3 linked regions of the Oryzias latipes genome follow. The protein of the gene in region 2 binds, or shares a complex with, the protein of the main gene of each other region. Links are inferred from orthologs where the notes say so. Each region holds a gene or a part of one and is shown on either strand. Other genes may lie near its edges.

Evidence for each region.
Region 1: tmem67 (region 2) and tctn1 share a complex: the UniProt entries of both Homo sapiens proteins name them as parts of the tectonic-like complex. The link is inferred for Oryzias latipes from reciprocal best matches to the Homo sapiens genes TMEM67 and TCTN1.
Region 3: tmem67 (region 2) and mks1 share a complex: the UniProt entries of both Homo sapiens proteins name them as parts of the tectonic-like complex. The link is inferred for Oryzias latipes from reciprocal best matches to the Homo sapiens genes TMEM67 and MKS1.

What each region holds. Positions count from the first base shown.
Region 1 is NC_019868.2:27,625,132-27,628,886, reverse strand, and holds the start of tctn1 (tectonic-1), read right to left. Parts: upstream 2,459-3,755; 5' UTR 2,376-2,458; coding exon 2,108-2,375; intron 1,059-2,107; coding exon 941-1,058; intron 437-940; coding exon 303-436; intron 1-302. UniProt on the Homo sapiens protein: Component of the tectonic-like complex, a complex localized at the transition zone of primary cilia and acting as a barrier that prevents diffusion of transmembrane proteins between the cilia and plasma membranes.
Region 2 is NC_019874.2:17,690,694-17,693,940, forward strand, and holds the end of tmem67 (meckelin), read left to right. Parts: coding exon 1-53; intron 54-242; coding exon 243-251; intron 252-355; coding exon 356-442; intron 443-548; coding exon 549-648; intron 649-720; coding exon 721-860; intron 861-930; coding exon 931-1,071; intron 1,072-1,176; coding exon 1,177-1,257; intron 1,258-1,338; coding exon 1,339-1,455; intron 1,456-1,573; coding exon 1,574-1,690; intron 1,691-1,774; coding exon 1,775-1,882; intron 1,883-2,006; coding exon 2,007-2,109; intron 2,110-2,196; coding exon 2,197-2,339; intron 2,340-2,425; coding exon 2,426-2,506; 3' UTR 2,507-2,671; downstream 2,672-3,247. UniProt on the Homo sapiens protein: Required for ciliary structure and function. Part of the tectonic-like complex which is required for tissue-specific ciliogenesis and may regulate ciliary membrane composition.
Region 3 is NC_019872.2:25,021,716-25,025,370, forward strand, and holds the end of mks1 (Meckel syndrome type 1 protein), read left to right. Parts: intron 1-223; coding exon 224-293; intron 294-362; coding exon 363-470; intron 471-588; coding exon 589-722; intron 723-1,291; coding exon 1,292-1,374; intron 1,375-1,459; coding exon 1,460-1,557; intron 1,558-1,740; coding exon 1,741-1,844; 3' UTR 1,845-3,090; downstream 3,091-3,655. UniProt on the Homo sapiens protein: Component of the tectonic-like complex, a complex localized at the transition zone of primary cilia and acting as a barrier that prevents diffusion of transmembrane proteins between the cilia and plasma membranes.

The sequences.
Region 1 (3,755 bases), on a different chromosome or scaffold from region 2:
TTCGGCATTTAAGACAATTGAATTCTGCTGTTTTTACAGCTCCTGTTAGCAGATTTTACTTAAAAAACTGGCTGTTTCTGGAATTGTTTTTCTCGAATAAAGCCCTAATTTTTAAAAGACAAACTAAATGTCAACATCATTCTGACATATTTGTAGAAATGTGACAGAAACCTGCAGGCTTGACTTTCAGAAATCATCCATTGATTTTTTTTTTGTTTAAATGAAAGTTTAAAATACAGATAATTTTGTTCAGAATGTGTGTAAAAACATAAACATGAGCTTCAGGAGGAGCTCTGACTCACGGTTGTATGAATGGATGCAGAAAAGGTCATAGTTTGTCTCCTTTTTGATGGAGGTGAGAAGCTCGGAAAAACCGTCAATTCGTGTTCTCAAAGCGTAGCTCGCCACGCCGCGGCTGCACAGCTGCCTGCTGTCACTGTGAGTGAAGAAATAACAATGAAAAACTGAGATTAAATCTGACTTAAAACACCCAAAACAGAAATCCAGCCAGAAATGAAGCACTATGGAGTATTTATTTTTAATTTTGAGCTTGTCTGCTGTCTTTGTGCTGCTGTCTCAGGTGATTTTACCTGTGAACAGGTAAATGAGCCATAATGATCCTATTTTCCCCGTCTTTTAAAAAAAAAAATCTTATATATGTATAAAAATGGAAAGTTTCCTTAATCTGCACTTAGGAGCTCATTTCATTCAAATATTCAAAATGTCAACAAAGGTGAAGCAGATCTTTGAGTCACAGCTGTGGGTTTAAAAGAAACGATTTTTTCTCTTCTTCAAACAGGAACCATAACGGTGTGGACTGGCAAAGCATGATGGGTCACGGCTGACATTCCTAACGTCATGAGAAGCAAACATGTGTTCCCCTGAACGTATGGGTGGGCAGTAGTGTGTTGGATATTGATTCCCTCCGGCTGAAACTCACCTCACGTCAGTGACTGAGCAGCTGGTGAACAGCGCCACCTCCTGCTGACAGTCAGCATCACAGCAGCAGCTGATGTCACACGCGTCCGTGTGCTCATCACAGGGACACAGCGTGTCGACTGAAACACAGAGCTGAGGTCAGAAGGTCAGAGTTCAACTATCCTCCGATGAGAAGTTTAAATATCAAATAAGAAATGGTCACCTTTTTTGATTTCAGCAGCAAAAAAGGATTACAAACAACAACAAGCACAGAATCTTGAAGCCTTAAATGTTGGTATTTTGATCATGAAGCTGCTTTTTAAACTTTAATAACATAATGACTGAAGTTGTGAAAGCGGCCCTCACTGCTTCACAGCCCTCATTGTCCCTGCAAGCCTGGTCAGAGCTGCCCGGGACAAATTTATGGGAAAAAAAAGTTGGTGGCTTTTCTGTCAGTTTTAACTCCATGGCAACCATTCAATTTTTTGATCGCCTGGGGGTGACGGACGCATCTATATAACTTTTAGAAAGATCGGCAAAAGTAAATTTTTAGATTTGCTTGGCAACGGAGGTTATGTGCTAACCACGCCCTCATTCCTAATATGTACATATGTTATGACATATCATTTTGTTTAGCTCGGGCCAACGATTAATGTATTAGATTTTCACAATGCTCCCGTAAAAAACAGGGAAACGCCACTTCTGCAAACTCACCACGCTAACGCTGTTCATAATCTGCAAACCTTAAAACCAATGATTTTTTTCCCCAAGTAGCTTCCCGACGGGGTCATGGACGTAGAAGCCAAGCGTTTAAATGTGAACTAGAGAACTGTTTTAAGAAAAATTCAAGATGGGGGCTTCTTTGCAAGGTCAAAGGTCAATGAAAGTTGTGGTTTTAGACTTAACCTGGTGATGTATGTGTGAAATATGTTGTTCACTATGTTAAAAATTCACTTTCATCAAATTTTGCTGAGATTCTTAGCTTGTAAAAACTAAAGAAAGTTTTGCTCAAAGTTGCAGAAAAGCATTTGCATAACCTGGTCCTTGCAGGTTTTTTTGAGAAAATGAACAAGCAATTCAAAAAGATTAAAAACGGTTAAAGTAAATAATTTAAGGACTGTTTGCAACGTCAATAGAGTTACTTTAGACAAAAACAAAACAAAACGGTGTTGCGTTCAAGGACACGCACCAGCGGTCACTGGAGTGGGGAGGCGGCCGGAGACAGGCAGGGGCTCGGCGGGCAGAGGCGGCGGCTCCGTACCGCTGGAGGTCCGGGTTGTTGAGCTCAACACCGTCGACTCCGTGGATGCAACAAACGTCGTTCCAGATGTGAAGTTTAGGTCATCCCACGCAGTCGAGTTAAAATAACTGCTCGTCGAATTTTCGTTAGAATTTACAGTAACAATCAAAAGGAAAATAAAAAAAAAATCCGAAGCTAAAAAGACGAACGCCGCCATACTTGTTATAGACCGTTGCTATGGTTGTTGCTCTTCTTCGGCTGTTCGCTTCTGCTCGTGGGCTTTCAGTTCGTATAGGCTGCCACCTACCGGTCAGTTGCATGAATGCAAGGTCCCTGAAACACATTTAACTGTTATCCCTAAAAAAACAAAAAAAAATCAAACAATATTTTGTTGATCACTGTGCTGTTTCTGTGATATTCTGAAAAAATTGGAAATATGTAGAAGTTTAATCTCTAATTTATCAGACTGAATATAACATTTAGTCATATAAACAAACGAAATAATTCATAAAACATGTTTAGTCTTACTTTTATAAGACAAGTTGAAATGAGGCTTTTTTAACCCTTGGGCTATCTTAGATGACCCCCCCTTCCATTGACGTGTTCTCCCTACCATGACAAAGGTGGATAAAGGTGGAAAGATTTCATGTAATCCATGGACACCAGTGAAGATCACAAATCATTGAAGAAAAAAGGTTCAGGGCACTGTCTAGTGGGTCTAGATGACCCAACTCCCAATGTTAAAGTGCCTAGGATAGCACAAGGGTTAAACAATAAACAAACAAAGAAAATAACTCTTTTTAAAGCGAAAGACCTCTTTAACGTGCAAATTTAAAGAACAACAGACTTATTTAGTCTTGACGAGAACTTGAAGGGACACACCACCATTAAATAATCTGATTTTTTTTTTTTTTTTCCACAACTTTTTATTTAAAGAATTAGTCATAACAACACAGCAACTTCAATAATACCAGTTACGTTTTCCTTATAAAAAGACAAAAAGCAAAAAGGAAATAAAATAATAAAAAAAAAAAAAATAAAAATAAAAAAACTAAACTGTATTGTATGACATTTCACTCAAAACAAATATCTGCACTCAAACAAATAAAAATAATTACATAAAACAAAACTTAACAACGAACATTGCTTCTCTTACATGATACCATCACAGCTCTCCTTTTCAAAAGCTTTTAAACTGTGGTTGCAAAATTCTGTGCAGTTGAGATCAAAAATCTGTTGAATCATCTATTAGTTCTAATTTTTGAATATAATTAATAAAGGGTCCCCAAATTTCCTCAAATAGGTGTTGTTTGCTTTTATGGATATACATTATTCTTTCCAAAGGAAGGCAATACAACATTTGTTTTAGCCACTGATTTATGCTAGGTCTGCTCATGTTTTTCCAAGCCTGTGCAATACACCTTTTAGCCGTTAAGAAACTGATATCAATAAATGTACTCTCTGTATTACTAAAATTATGTTTCACTGGATATATATTCAAAAGAAATAGGGTAGGGCTCAATGTAAGTTGTTTTGAGATTATTTTTTCTATTGTAATTTTAACTTCTTCCAAAAAGATTTGTATTTGGTGACATTC
Region 2 (3,247 bases):
TTTTCTTTGCCGTAACTGTGGGAACTGGGCTTTACTGGCTCATATTTTACAAGGTATGTTGAGTCCCTCAAACTTAAACAAATAATTTATTTCTAGAGTATGATGAGTCTTTAAACTCTGTCATGTCTTACTGTGCTTTATCTCTTTTCTAGACATGTTTACATTGTTTTTTTTGTACAAGCACTGTGTTATCTTTTTGTTTTTCACTTCTTTCTTTGCACTTCCACCTCTGCTCTCTTTAGTCTTTAAAGGCGAGTCTTCTTTTTCTTCCATGATCATTTTTCTTTAAATGCCCATTAAGTTCCAGCTGTTGTTGGCGGCGTTCTATATTTAAATGATTTCCGTTTTTGTGTAGGCCCAACAGTTTGTGTCGGTGCTTTTGCCACTGCCTGCTCAGGAGGAGCAGTTTGAGACATACATCGGATGCGCCTTTGCTCTCAAGGTAAAACCCTGAACTTTGCACAGGCTAAAATGAAACCTATTGTTATTTAAAACCCACTTTGTAAATGTAAACCACTACATTTAAAATATATTATTTCTGTATCCAGGCTGTCCAGTTTCTCAATAAACTGATTCTGCAAGTCACCGTTGATGTATTTCTCATTGACTGGGAGAGGCCACGAAGTAAAGCTAGCAGAACAGTGCCAGGTACAACCTGCTTTTGGGACACATTCATCTTTGCTGCTGTTTGTCCTTTTAAAATATTTTTTGCTGTTTCAGCTACTAAGGAAACAAAACAGGAACCCTCTCCAGTCAGCATCTGGAGGACTTACTTTGTGGCCAATGAGTGGAATGAGCTCCAGACCGTCCGAAAGATCAGCCCAACGTTTCAAATAATGGCCGTGCTTTTCTTTCTTGAGGTACAAAAACACAAGAGCACACATCCACTCCGTCTTTCTAGCTTTTGACAAACTGTCATGTGTTGTTCAGGTGCTGGGCTTCTCCAATCTGGCCCTGAGAGACCCCTGGTCAACATTAGAGCGTTCCCCAGCAGCCTACACCCCTCCTTACAGTCTGATTCTTCGCTATGGTCTCGCTGCCACACTTTGGATATGTATTGGGCTATTGCAGGTAAATGGCCATAAAATCTCCTCCATTTATTCTTTCACATGATCTTGTGTCTACTAATATTTAGCAGACATGCATCCTGTCACAGAAGCCCTTTTGTTCCCACAGGTGATTTTCTTCACCGTCTTTTATGAGCACTTCGTGGAGGATAAAATCCGTCAGTTTGTGGATCTCTGCTCCGTCAGCAACGTAAGTAACACTGCATGATGTGCTGTTAATCAAAACCTCTGTAACACTTCAAAGAAATGGGTTTTAACTCCCTCTGTGCAGATTTCAGTGCTGCTTTTCTCTCATCGCTGTTTTGGCTACTACATTCATGGCCGGTCAGTGCACGGGCATGCAGACACAAACATGGAGGAAATGAACAACAATCTGAAGAGAGAGCGTGTATGGCTACCAAATCTCTGCTTTTCCAATTAGAGTTACATTTTATTTGTGATCTTATTGCATAAACCTAACATTATGAATGTGTTCTTCCCTCATGCCTTTTTTTTTCCATTATAAGGAATCTCTGTGTGGCCAGAGAGGTCTCCTTTCCAACACAGACATTCAGACCTTTCAGGTCTCGTTTACAAACCGTTTGAGGCTGCAGTATGACAGGATACAGGATTCACTCAGCAGGGTTTGTACTCAGCTCTTTTATGTCTGTATGTCCCTGAAAAATAAAACTTCTCTTTTGTTCAAATGGTTGTGTTCTGTTCTCCAGAGGAACAGACCATCTCGGTTGATAGATGCGTCTGCAGCTAACTTGTCAGAGCTACAGTTCAAAGCCTACAACACCATGAACCACTTCCTGGCATCTGTTATAGACCATGTTAGTATGAATATGTTGTGAGACATTCGGAAAACAACATAGTTTTGTTGAATCAATTGTTGATGAATTTGTTACTACGATATAATTTGTGCTTTATAAATTGTTGTTATATTGTTTACCTTAGGCGCACCCTGAGATGGACTACATAGTCAAGGATAAACTGACGTTGGAGAGAGTCATAGGGATGGAGTTTCTTGAACCCATTGACAAAAGCATATTTTACAATGGTAACAGCCTTGTCGATCTTAATATTTAATATCCCTTTTATTGTTTTGGTATATGAAAGATGTACCTTTGTCATTTTTTCCCAATAGATGAAAGACACTCGTTCAGTGACGTGCTTTTTTATGGAAACGAGGCCACACTGCTGATCTTTGACACTTTGTTCTTCTGTGTTGTCGACCTGGGATCCCAAAACTTTGTTCTAGCAGCTGTTCTTACTTACTTACAGCAAGCGGCAAGTATTCTAATTATCTCAGTGTGTTGTTTTCATTGTGGTGAAATGCACTGTGGCTATCATTAATATTGTTCTGTGTTTTGCAGATGTTTCGCTTCATCCGAAACACACTTGGAAGGAGGAACCTTGTCAATAAAACACTGGTGGATCAGAGATTTTTGATATAAAAATGTTGTTGAAGGTCCTTAATTTTTTTTAAAGTTGATCATTTTCAGTTTCGCCTTTTCAAAATCATTTGTACAATGCTTTTTACTGCTGGTTTATAATGTTGTATTTTTTTTGACATATTTCTACACTTTTTTTTAATTAAAAGGTTTTCATATGAAGGCAAAGTTGTGTTGAGTTTTGATTTAAAATCAAGGCCAACATCTGATTTGTATTACTGATACCACTTAATCTGAATGTTAAGATAAATGTACATTATCCATTTCAATACAGTACTGTGATTGACTAATATTTCAAATGAATTAAAACAATGCCGTAGTTATATCATAGATAATGCATGGTATATTTTGTGATATCAGCCTAAAATAGGTTTGTTTATTTGTTAAGCAATCACTTAAAGGTGTACTCTTGGACTCCGCCTCAGTGAATGATATATATTTTTGCCAGAATCAAATTATCTGTGCTTTTTATACTATTAAATGAAAATCTTAGTTAATAGTGATAGAAAATGAGAACATGGTGATACTCACAAGAAACCAAGTATTAATGCAGCACACAGTCATTTATTTTATTTTTAAGCTTAATGGGTGTCTTAACTGTCCGCACTACTAAAAAAGAGAAGTATTCATAGTATTCAATCAGTTATAATGATAAAAAATTTTTGTTCTTTTTTATGTTTGTTTTTCATGTCGCAAAGAACAATGTCCATGGAATAATTTGGAGAAAAGAACCTATTTCAGGGA
Region 3 (3,655 bases), on a different chromosome or scaffold from region 2:
TGTTCCCTTCTCTACCTCTGTGCCGGTCCCAAGCCCGGTTGCTTTGAGAGGCTTGCGTCAGGAAGGGCATCCGGCGTAAAACATTGCCAAGTTTACCATGCGGCTCGTTCGCTGTGGCGACCCCTGATGGGAAAAGCCGAAAGAGAAACAACTTGCATGTAAGAGACTAAACCACTTTTTTGAGTGGAAGTTGTTAAACCCTCAACAAACTCTCCGTCTACAGGAAGATGTGGCTTTCTTCAGCTATCCCTTCACTTTTGAGGCTCTTTATATGAAGCAAAAAGACGGTGAAGGTTAGTATCAGCTGTTAAGTATTATAGCATAGTTTATGTTTTATGAATCCAGGTTTTATCTTACTTTAGAAGGCATTCCTCAGTGGCCAGTGATTTACTTCAAGGTTCTTTCCTTGGACTTCTGGCAGCGCTATCGAACGGAAGGCTATGGTTATCTGCTTTTTCCTGCCACGCCCGGTACGATGTATTTCCTGAAATCTCATTTAAATTCAGTTTATTTTGTTACTGTTCACATTTAATCAAGGGATTTCTAAATGGTTAGTGTTTCTACATCTTGTTTGTGTTTGTATACCAGGTAAACATACCATGACATGTCACACATGGAGGCCTGTTCAGACAGGGACTGTGTCTGCAATGAAGCGCTTCTTTATTGGAGGTTCTGCTGAGCTTGAAGATGACAGTTATGTCAGAACTCCAGGAACATTCAAGGTGAATCAAAGCTGGCTCAAACAAAGTTTTAGACAATTGATGTTGATTTTTATCAGGTATAAAGTTAAATAAATATGTTGTGATTTTATCGATACATACTCCTTGGGCAGCTGGGTTTCAATTGTCAGTTGAAATTGAGTCAATCCTAACTTCAATAAAATTATTGATTCTTCCATTTCTGAAATACATTTTTGTGAATATTATTTGTCAAAGCAAAAATTAAACGTTTTCTTTTTTTAAATCACTATTTAAGTAATCCAAAAAATTGGACTTAGGATAGAAATCTGAAAACAAATTGATGATTATTTTAATTTTTGCTGCTATATATTGAATTAAATTGTACACTTTTGAATAAAAAAATCAATAATTTGCATTTACTGTGACATTCTGGTGGAAACCATTTAACGGAGTGCAAATATCAGAATAACCAACAGACTTTGAAAAAAATGATTTCTTTGGGTTTTTGATAAACAGGGACTTGCTTTTGATACATGATTGAAACAAAGGTGTTTTAGTATTTACAGTATGTGTATGTTTTTTGTTGTTATTCTCTAACATTTTTGTATCAGGGGGACAGGCTGAGTCGCTTTGGTTTCTGCACTGTAACCACAGGAAGCGTCACTTTTAACCTGCACTGCATCCAGCAAGCCAGGTGAGTGTCAGGTAAGCGTCAAACAGGTCTCAGTCTGCCAGCAACATAACTACAGTGGTCTTTTGTGTCCGTGTGTACATTTCAGGGCATTTGTGGATGCTGCTGTTCTGAAAAGGAGGAGACAGAAGGTTTTTGAGCATTTGGGAGGATTTAGTCAACAAGGAGCTGTTTGCAACATTCTGGGTAAAAAAAAACAAAAAATCCATTTGACTTCCAAGCCTCTTTGCACTGAAATTCTGGAGGTCTGAACTTTATTTAGGGATCAACATTTGTTGGGCTATTGGGATGCAATTAGGATTTAAAATGTGCTGTATTTAAATGTTAATAATAGTTTCATTTAACACGTTTCATGTTTTTCTCTGTCAGAGGCTTTTCAGAGAGCGAGGAAAAAGATGCAGGAGGCCAGAGAAAGTTTTCCGAGAGGCGTAATAAACACTGGTTCCCAACTCCAACAGGAATCCTCAGCATGAGACTGAAAACCAAACTTTCAGTGGGACTGAGTGGAAGAAGATCCTGGCACAGACTCAGAATTTTGCAAAGATGACTCTCTAGTGACCGGTCCAGTGAGCATCTGTGGAACATTTCATGTTTTAAGGATTAATAAGTCACTTTGTCAGGTTGTAATGATGCAAAACATACATCAATCCACCAAAATGTGGAAAAAGTGACCACACCTGCCTTAGAAACTACAGGCAAATTTCACAGCAGTTTTTAATGGCTAAGGAACTTGTTGAAAATCCACTCGGGAGTTTTTTTTTGTTGCAATTAACTCTTTTACAAGTTCTAAGCTGCTTTTCACCTCCTGCCCTCTACAGAAGCTGCTGCGCTCATGTTCTGCCAGTACCTACTGATGTACGCAGATACGAGAAATGTTCTGGTGCTGTTTAAATCTACTAAAGCTTACTTTTTACTGTCAGAAATAGCCTAGTGATTAACAGAATGAAGCTGAATTAGCCACTAACCAGGAAAGCCTTTGTGTCGTTTCCCTACATCAACGGGTCTATTTGGGGCAAAACAGAGACTCTTGCTTCATGTCCCTCAAAAGGATCTTCTCAGAGCTAATCTCAATTTACCTGACCCTCTGCTGCTTTACTTTAACCTGGTTCCATGAAGCACCATACCAACTTTCAGTTAAAGACATTTAGCTTTTTTCTCATTTAAACTCAGTTAAATTATTATTGATCTGCCCCTTAACAGTACAAAACTATTGTTACAGTCTACTGTAAAAATAGAAATTGAAATCCTCCTGAAACATCTTTTTCACAAATCAAGCAATCTCTATAGTCTTCTCCTTCTTTTTAGAGCCGGTCTTAAGGATCTCGTCATTCTCATTTGATCAGCCTATGCACAATTTATGCATCTGTTCTTTTGCTATACTTGATACAGGGATGAATGGTGCTTGGTTCAGAATAGGATTTTAAAAACGATGCCAGTTTGGCTAAAAGAGATCATGTTCTCAGGATTACTGTCAGGAAAAAAAAATCAGCTGATTTTAATTTGTTGGGGTAGTTTTTGCATTTTATTGCATATAATTCTACAAATAAATGTTTTTGCTACAAAATATTTGAAGTTTCATTGTTGTTATACATTTGTTATTTTAATTAAAGCAACATCCTTTTTTTTTTTAAAACAAACCCAACTTTTTATGTCATTTTTATAATTTTGAAGCCACACTGTATATAAGTTACAGGTGAAAAATAAAGTATTGGTTTCATGGATTGTGGTAGTTGACCCTAATGGGCTTTTGATAAAGCTTAATTGATTTCTTTGCTGTTTGTATGCTGTTTCTCAGTGAATATCAAATGAAAAAAAAATAGATTTTTATCTTTTGTGAAGCGTCATTTAGTTAAGAAACTAATGCATTTTATTTTTAGAGAACGTGTTCTTTGATTTTATGAGGATTTACAACACTGACCTAGGTTAGAAAGGCTTTTATGTGCTTGCAATTTAATCTTTAACTATGTAAAAAAGATTGTAATTTGCATTTTTTTCTTTTAAACTATCAATAATATAAACACCTGCAGTCTTGCACGTTTACTTGTTAAAAGTAAGATGCTCTGATAGTTTAAAACAACAAAACAACTAGCAAATAAAAACACCAACATGAACATGGCTTAAAAAATTGTCATTAATTAAGCTTCATTTTTGTTTTAAAATAAACGGTTGGGTCAGAGTTTGTGCTCCAAATCATGAAAAAAAAATTGATTTCATGTTCACACGCCCACTTTTCTGCACTCCAGTAGGAAGTTTTCCAGTTTCCTACGATCGTGAACTCACCATC